2 linked regions of the Canis lupus familiaris genome follow. The protein of the gene in region 2 interacts with the protein of the main gene of each other region in a biochemical or structural test. Links are inferred from orthologs where the notes say so. Each region holds a gene or a part of one and is shown on either strand. Other genes may lie near its edges.

Region 1 (3,566 bases), on a different chromosome or scaffold from region 2:
CCAGCCTGGGCATGTTCCTATGCCAAGGCGCCGGTGCCTGCCGCCATCTTGTCTCCCTCTACCCCCCCACCCCCAATCAGAAAATCCTTCCAGAATGGAAAACCCCATTTTTCCTCTTTTGGAGAGGAAACAGCAGCAGTTGATGCTGGAAATTCTCCAGCCATCCCTGAGCAGTTGGGCTTTCATCATGCTGCCTCTTCGCATCTGCATGAAGGACAGATTTAGCCAATTAACCTAAGGTTACCTTCCTCTGATTAATTCCCCATTCTGTCTTTCCATGTGTTGTCTCTCGTTTTTCTCCCTCCTCCTTCCCTCTTCTTGCTTCTCCTCCCCCCTCCAAACCTTACAGATAGCTCGTGAGGCTGAGGCAGCCATGTTCCACCGCAAGCTGTTTGAAGAACTTGTGCGAGGCTCAAGCCACTCCACAGACCTCATGGAAGCCATGGCCATGGGCAGCGTGGAGGCTTCTTATAAGTGTTTAGCAGCAGCTTTGATAGTTCTGACGGAGTCTGGCAGGTAGGGCCCCAAGGGCAGGTAACTCCGTAGGATAACCAGCCTCTTGCTCCAGCTGATCTAGAAGACGGCTGGGGCGCAGCCCTGCAGCTGGGGCCCGGCTCCAGTCCTCTCCTCGTCTGCAGGAAGCCAGCCAGGGAGTCAGGGCAGGGCAGGACCGCAAGGGCCTCCGGCTCGGTAGGCACAGTGGCTGCCACAGGCACCTGGTGATGGGCCAGTTCCCATGAACCTTGGTCTTGCGCGGGTCCGCGGCTCCAGTTGTCCGCCGCCTCTTGGCCTCCTGTCCGGGGACACGTCCCTCACCAGCTGTCTGTGAGCCTCTTCCCCTCCGTCTCCCGTGCGACACCGCTCTGACAGTCCTGTCCCCCTCCTGTCCCTCTGGACGGATGTTGCTCCCCTAGATTGCCCGTGAGGCAGAGGCCGCCATCTACCACTTGCAATTATTTGAGGAACTCCGCCGCCTGGCGCCCATTACCAGCGACCCCACAGAAGCCGCCGCCGTGGGCGCCGTGGAGGCCTCCTTCAAGTGTTGCAGCGGGGCCATAATCGTGCTCACCAAGTCTGGCAGGTAGGAGGTGGCAGCGGCTCCCAGGGCACGCCCTGCTCGGGGCACCTTCCCTGGGCGTCCCGAGAGCCGTGCGTTGATCGGGGCTCAGATGGCCCTGAGCCCAGGTAAGCCCCTCTGCCTGCCACCTGGGCCTGAGGACCCGAGGTTAGACTAGAGACTTCGTTGCCGAACGACAGACTGCACATGCTCACTTGAGTATGTGAAAGTTCATCTTTTAAGAAAGTAATTGATGACCAGTTTTGTTCATTCCAGCCACTACATGCCCTTTAAAAGTTCAGTTTGGGAGATTAGTGCTGTTCACTGACGTGCTGTTGGGTTGGTGCACCTGTCTCTGTCTGTCTTTGAGCCCCAAAGGCAAGCAGATTCAGGCCTAGGAAAGGTCACCACGTCATCTTGCTGGCACCCTAGTGTCGGGCCGCCGAGCTGAGGCTGCTGATTGGCCTTGGCTTGGGATCTCCTCCTCATCTGGACATGGAGTCAGCCTCTGTCATTGCCCCAGTCTGGGAGTGTGCTCCTCATCCCTGCCTGCAGGGCCACAGGAATTCCTGGAAGGGGAAGGGATGGGGTCAGGCTGGTGGTCCCCGAGCATGGAGGTGCGGCAGGTGGGGTTGCGTGTAGAACCGGGACATGAGATCTGTGCAGATTACCTCAGCAGAGGGCTCCGGATAAACAGCTCCAACCATCAGGGTTGACCTTTGTGGAAAGGTCCAGCCTTTGCTCTTTGGCTATTTTTAGCTCCAGTCTTCTGGGATTTCACTCTAACCAGTCCCGACTTCAGCACTTGCTTCCCTCTGAAGCCTTGTATGGGGGCCAGGCCTTTAGCAGGGCAGCCTCTGCTGTGACATGGCTTAAGTTTCCCTGACACCTGTCGGTGTCCTTAGGGCTTGCCTTCCGACGCCCAGTGCCTCCTGCAAGCAAGCCCCTCCCCAGCTCCTGAGACCGGTCTACAGCCACAAGTGTACAATGTTCAAGGAAGCATGTGGCACTGGGGCCCAGAGGGGCCCTCTACCCTCCAGGGGACTCTGCACAGACAGAGCCTCCCACATTAACCTTCCCATCTCCTGGTCTAGCCTCCTGGGTAATACCCAGGTTTGGCTCTAGAGCTGGGTTGCTAGGACTGTTTTAGGGACTTGGGGGCCATGTAGGCTGGGGGAGAGGGCACAGCAGTAGAGGGCTGGCTTTGTAGGTTCCCTGGGGGGCTGGTGAGCTCTGCTGCTGTTCTTTGCAGATGCCAAGAGTCAGGTGCTATTCACATGCTGCTTGGCTTGTAGCTGCTGCTGGCAGCAGGAGGAATGGGTGCTGGTGAGGTTGGGCAGGGCTGTATCTGTGCCAGGATGGGAAAGTTCAGAGGAGGGGCTTCTGCCAACTGAGTCGTGTGGGGTGAGTGGGTGAGACTGACCGCGCCGGGTCGGTGTGATCCTGGGGCCCTGGGCTGTGGGGAGGGGGGTAAAAAGCCAAGTGGACAGATAGCATAGGAAGAAGAGTCGGATTCTGTTCCTCGGAAGGTGGAGGACGAGGGGCAGCCCTGGCACGGGGAGCAGATGCTAAAGTGGCCAGAGTCTGATGCTGGCAGAATGAGTTGGATTAGAGGCTGAGTTGTTGCTGAAGGCCCTGTGGGGGGCTCTGGGAGGCTCTGGAACACTGTTTAATGGTCTCTTCTGCTTGGCCGTCATCCTGTCGCAGGTCCGCTCACCAGGTGGCTAGATACCGCCCCCGCGCCCCCATCATCGCTGTGACCCGGAACCACCAGACTGCTCGCCAGGCCCACCTGTACCGCGGCATCTTCCCTGTGGTGTGTAAGGACCCAGTGCAGGAGGCCTGGGCTGAGGACGTGGACCTCCGGGTGAACTTGGCCATGAATGTTGGTGCGTGGCTGGGAGCAAGGGCTAGCACCTGCCTGGAGGGGTGGGGACGGTGCTTGGGCACTGATCTCCCTGGGATCCTAGAGAAAGGGGAACATGCTGACCTTGGAGTGTGCAAGAGTCCTAGCTGTCTTCCCAGGGAACGTTCTCTGACTCCTCCTTCCCATTCCCTGAAGTTCTGGGCTAAGCCCAGGAGGGAGGAGGAGCCTTGGAGTTCTGGGGCTGAGCTGCCCACTTCTCTGTCTTCCCATCCGGGGCCCAAAGCAAAGGATCCTGGATAGTCAGGAATGTCCCTTCTTGGGCATCTGCTCCTTGTTGAGGGTTAAGAAAAGATTAGAGCGTTACATCATGGGGTGTCCTACACACAGATCACGTACTCATGGCCTTTGTCCCTAATAAAAGTAGGATGTCCGTGCATGAGAGGGACTACTCCACCCTCTAGAGTATAAAATGATGTCCAAAGGTCCCCGGCAGCTGCCATTTCAATTGATGAGGAAGAGTCGGGGCCTCCCTGGTCCCTGGGCTGGGCGGCTTGCGCCACCTTGTGGTGGGAGGCAGTAAGGGTCACCCAGTCTGGCTACCTCGGCGGGCGGGTCAGACAGGTGCTCTCCTGCCTGGCTTGC
Region 2 (3,566 bases):
CCCACCAGGGTCACAGAGCTCGGGATGGGTAGAGCTGAGATCTGAATACAACAGTGGGGGAGTCTAGAGTTTACCCGCCTTGGCCTCAGAGACGCATGGAGCAGGCCAGCCTGTGACCTCCCAGCAGCGACAGATGCACTTCTGTCATGCAGCCAGTTTCAAAGGCCCCCCAACTCCCCAAATCAGGTAAAAGTTCCCTGCTTCAGATGGGGAGCTCCTTGAGAGGCTGCCCCCCAGGATCTGCCTCTCACCTGGAGCGCCCGTTGGATGGAGTGCCGTCTCGGTGAGGGGTGTTGAGGCAGGCTGGCTAGGTCAGGGCATCGCCAGGAGGGTGGCAGGGGGTGTTTGGTATGTGCTTCCTTTTCCTCCCCCCTTGAGCATTTGGATCTAAGGCACAGAGGAAAGAGACATGAGATTCCAGCATTTCTGTCTAAGGAGCGGAGGGGTGGATCCCTCTCCCTCCTTCTCTGTGGCCTGTTTCTGTCTCATTTATTCATGAATTCCTTCAGCATTAGGGAGCACCTGTTCTGTGCACAGGGCCAGGTGCTGGGAACACAGCAGCGAGCAAGGCCCACTGGCCCTGCCCTCCCAGTCTGAGGCAGGTGACACACAGATGGGACACTGGCAAATGTAGGGGGGCACCTCCCACAGCGGGGTCTTAGGAAAGACTCCTGGATGAGGCCAGAGGACAACAAATGAGCTTCCTATGGGAAGAGACCATTAAGCAAAGGCCTCGAGGTGGCAGGGGCAGGGCAGACTGGGAGGGCTGTCACGGGGGCTGGGTTAATACTGAGCCCAGGGGATGCACAGGGGCCTGAGGGTTCCCTTGCATCTTGGCTTGTGGCCAGACTCCTGACGGGCAGCTTCTAGAAAGAGGAGATGAGAAAGCAGTGATTTTTTTTTGTTTGTTTTTAAGTCACTTGAGGCTCCTGTCCAAGCAGAACATTTCCTGAGAGTTGGCTGATCAGAGGAAGATTTGGGTGCTATGAACTATGGCGGGCAGAAACTTGGCTTTTATTTGATTTTTGGGCTGATATCTGTGTGTACCATGGCCAGGCCATCTAGTCTCAGGGATCCCTGCTGACTCACAGCATCGGCTCCTGGAGGATGCGGCAAGGTGGTGCTGTACTGGGCTCGGCTCTGCAGGTGCGGGGCCTGTGCCCGGAGCCGGGCAGGTTACAGCAGGGAGCACTGTATGCACAGGATTCTCTGGCCAGCGAATCGAGGTCCAGACAAGGGAAAGGAGGAAGAATCTTGAGGCTGCCCAGGTGAGGCGAAGAGATAGCCCGGAGTCCAGGGAGTAGAGAAGTCTCGGTGATGTCCAGTTCAGGCTGGATCACTAATGGGTGCAGCTAGCACTGGGGGGCCACCTAGCAGCCCCAGCGGGCATGGTCAGCCCCAGCATGGGCATTGCAGGCAGAAGCCACCCCTGCCCATGGAGGGTGGGGCTCATGTCGCACTGGCAAGCTTTTCTGACCAGGCAGCCTGTCCCATGACAAGATGCACAGGCAGGATAGCCCAGGGATGGGCAAGTCACACAGAAACGGGGGGAGTCTTATCACTGAGACGCGTGGCCCTTATGGATGGGAGAATTGTGACAGCACCTAACATTTGTCAGAGTCTCCATGGCAGGCACACTGTGCTGTCACTGTGGTCTGCTGGCAGATGACTAATGGGCCAGCAGCAGAGGGATGGTTGGGACATGGGGATGACAGGGTGAGGGGGACAGCAGTGGAAGGCCCCCAGTGGACCAGATACCAGGACCCAGGCGCTGCCATGGTGTGGGACAGGATGGGGTGATAGATGTGTTGTCACAGTTGTGTTGTTTCAGTTGTGGTCATAGCGGAGTTTGCACGAGCTCAGCAGGCAGATGGCCCCGGCTGGGTGTCTGGGCCTCAGTTCGCCAGGTGGCTTAATCAGCAGCGTCCCTGTGGTGCTCAGACAGGAGCAGTGGAGGGTGGTGTGCAGAAGCCCACTAGCAGGGATAACAGGGTGATCCTCACACCCGGGGTGGGCTGGGTGGGTGTGCAGAATGTCCCCAGGAGAGTAGCTGTCAGGGAGGCCATGTGGGACCAGGGTGGTCTGGAGCTGCATGTCCTGGGAGTCCACCCCGTGGCTGCGCCTGTGGGTGCAGGGACAAGACTGGCAGGAATGTTCCTTCAAGCGCTGGGGCAGCTGGTTGGAGCAGGATGGGGCATTTTGAGGAGGAGAGGGTGGGCTCTGGCTCTAGGGGCTCCTGCCTGGAACCTGGACTCAGGAGCAACAGGAGGCTCTTCCTCACCACGCAAACACAGCCTTCCTATGTGCCCTGCTCCCCACATGTGAGTCATATAGGTGCTCAGTGCAGCCTCAGCCTTCCCCCACCCCCCGCCCCCAGGAGATGAGTCCCCAGCGGAAGCAGTTTGTACCACACACAGGATGCATCCAGTGTGATGCCACCACAGCCTTTTAGGGCAGCTGCAAGAACGGTGTCGGCTGCTATGAGGCCATGTCCATGGAAATGACACATGTCCCGTCTCGGCTGCCTTGTGGTCTCTTCACGACGCCCCACTTAGCAGCCTGGGCCTTCCTCCCAGTTCCAATAGGTTGGACAGTTGAGGCCCAGGGGATCCGCCAACAGCTCCTGTGGCAGAGCTGGCCTGGTGCCCCAGCCTCCTGCCTTTCTCCTGGAAACTTCTAGAAAATTTCCCCATCAGTGCCTTGTGGGATCTTGGCAGGGCCCTGGGTCCCAGCATCCCTCTTCAGTATTTGCCCTGCTTTTTGCCCTCCTCCCCAACAGGGCCTAGAGGTAGAGATTTTCCCCAAAATATGTGTTGGGGTGTGGGAAAAGGTCATGTTGTGTTCATGTTATGTCTGTAGGGGGCGGGAGGTAGGAGTGGCAAAGGGAGCTGGGGTGGGGGAACGGGCTCTGAGACCAGTGTGGCTATTGAGGCCACCACAGGGTCAGGGGGCGCACACTTGGTGGCGGGGGGGTGGGGGGTGTTCATGAATGTGTGTGGAGCGAGTGGTCACCCTTGCAAATAGGGCAGGGGTTGCGTGCCTCCTTTCCGAGGGAAGTGCCCCCTCCATCAGGAGCCCCCCGCTCCATCCCACCCTGCCTTTGATGAGAGGTCTCCCTGTATGTCCACAGGCTACATCCAGAAGATCAAGTCAGGAGAGGAAGACTTTGAATCTCTGGCCTCACAGTTCAGCGACTGCAGTTCGGCCAAGGCCAGGGGAGACCTGGGTGCCTTCAGCAGAGGTGCGCAAGGAGTGGGCACTACCTGGCCCTAGAGGAGCCTCTGTCCCAGCCGCGGGGATCCCCCTGCCAGGGGGAGGTTGGGAGGGGTAGCCCCGGCTGTGCAGGTCTTCAGGGTCCACCAGGTGGCAGCACAGTCCCGCAGGCTCCAGAGGGACTCCCACTGCTGGGGGGTTGGCTGGGCTGCAGAGCCCTCTGCCTGGCTTCCTTTCCCCCCTGCGGTGGGAAGTCCGTCTGTGGGTCCCTCGATGCAGTTGTCCCCATCATGGACACGGCAGGGTAGGTACTTGGCTGCCGTGTGCCTCTCCTCTGGTTGGGGGGTGTAAGG

What was found. The genes of interacting proteins can lie anywhere in the genome.
Region 1: the proteins of PIN1 (region 2) and PKM form a complex in vitro, tested with the Homo sapiens proteins (2 studies listed by BioGRID, with this or other methods). The link is inferred for Canis lupus familiaris from reciprocal best matches to the Homo sapiens genes PIN1 and PKM.

Annotation. Positions count from the first base shown.
Region 1 is NC_049251.1:36,154,054-36,157,619, reverse strand, and holds part of PKM (pyruvate kinase PKM), read left to right. Parts: exon of another isoform or gene 1-349; coding exon 350-516; exon of another isoform or gene 517-914; coding exon of another isoform or gene 915-1,081; exon of another isoform or gene 1,082-1,626; intron 1,627-1,728; exon of another isoform or gene 1,729-2,764; coding exon 2,765-2,946; exon of another isoform or gene 2,947-3,566. UniProt on the Homo sapiens protein: Catalyzes the final rate-limiting step of glycolysis by mediating the transfer of a phosphoryl group from phosphoenolpyruvate (PEP) to ADP, generating ATP.
Region 2 is NC_049241.1:51,553,120-51,556,685, reverse strand, and holds part of PIN1 (peptidyl-prolyl cis-trans isomerase NIMA-interacting 1), read left to right. Parts: intron 1-251; exon of another isoform or gene 252-387; intron 388-1,089; exon of another isoform or gene 1,090-2,122; intron 2,123-2,408; exon of another isoform or gene 2,409-2,676; intron 2,677-3,130; coding exon 3,131-3,241; intron 3,242-3,566. UniProt on the Homo sapiens protein: Peptidyl-prolyl cis/trans isomerase (PPIase) that binds to and isomerizes specific phosphorylated Ser/Thr-Pro (pSer/Thr-Pro) motifs.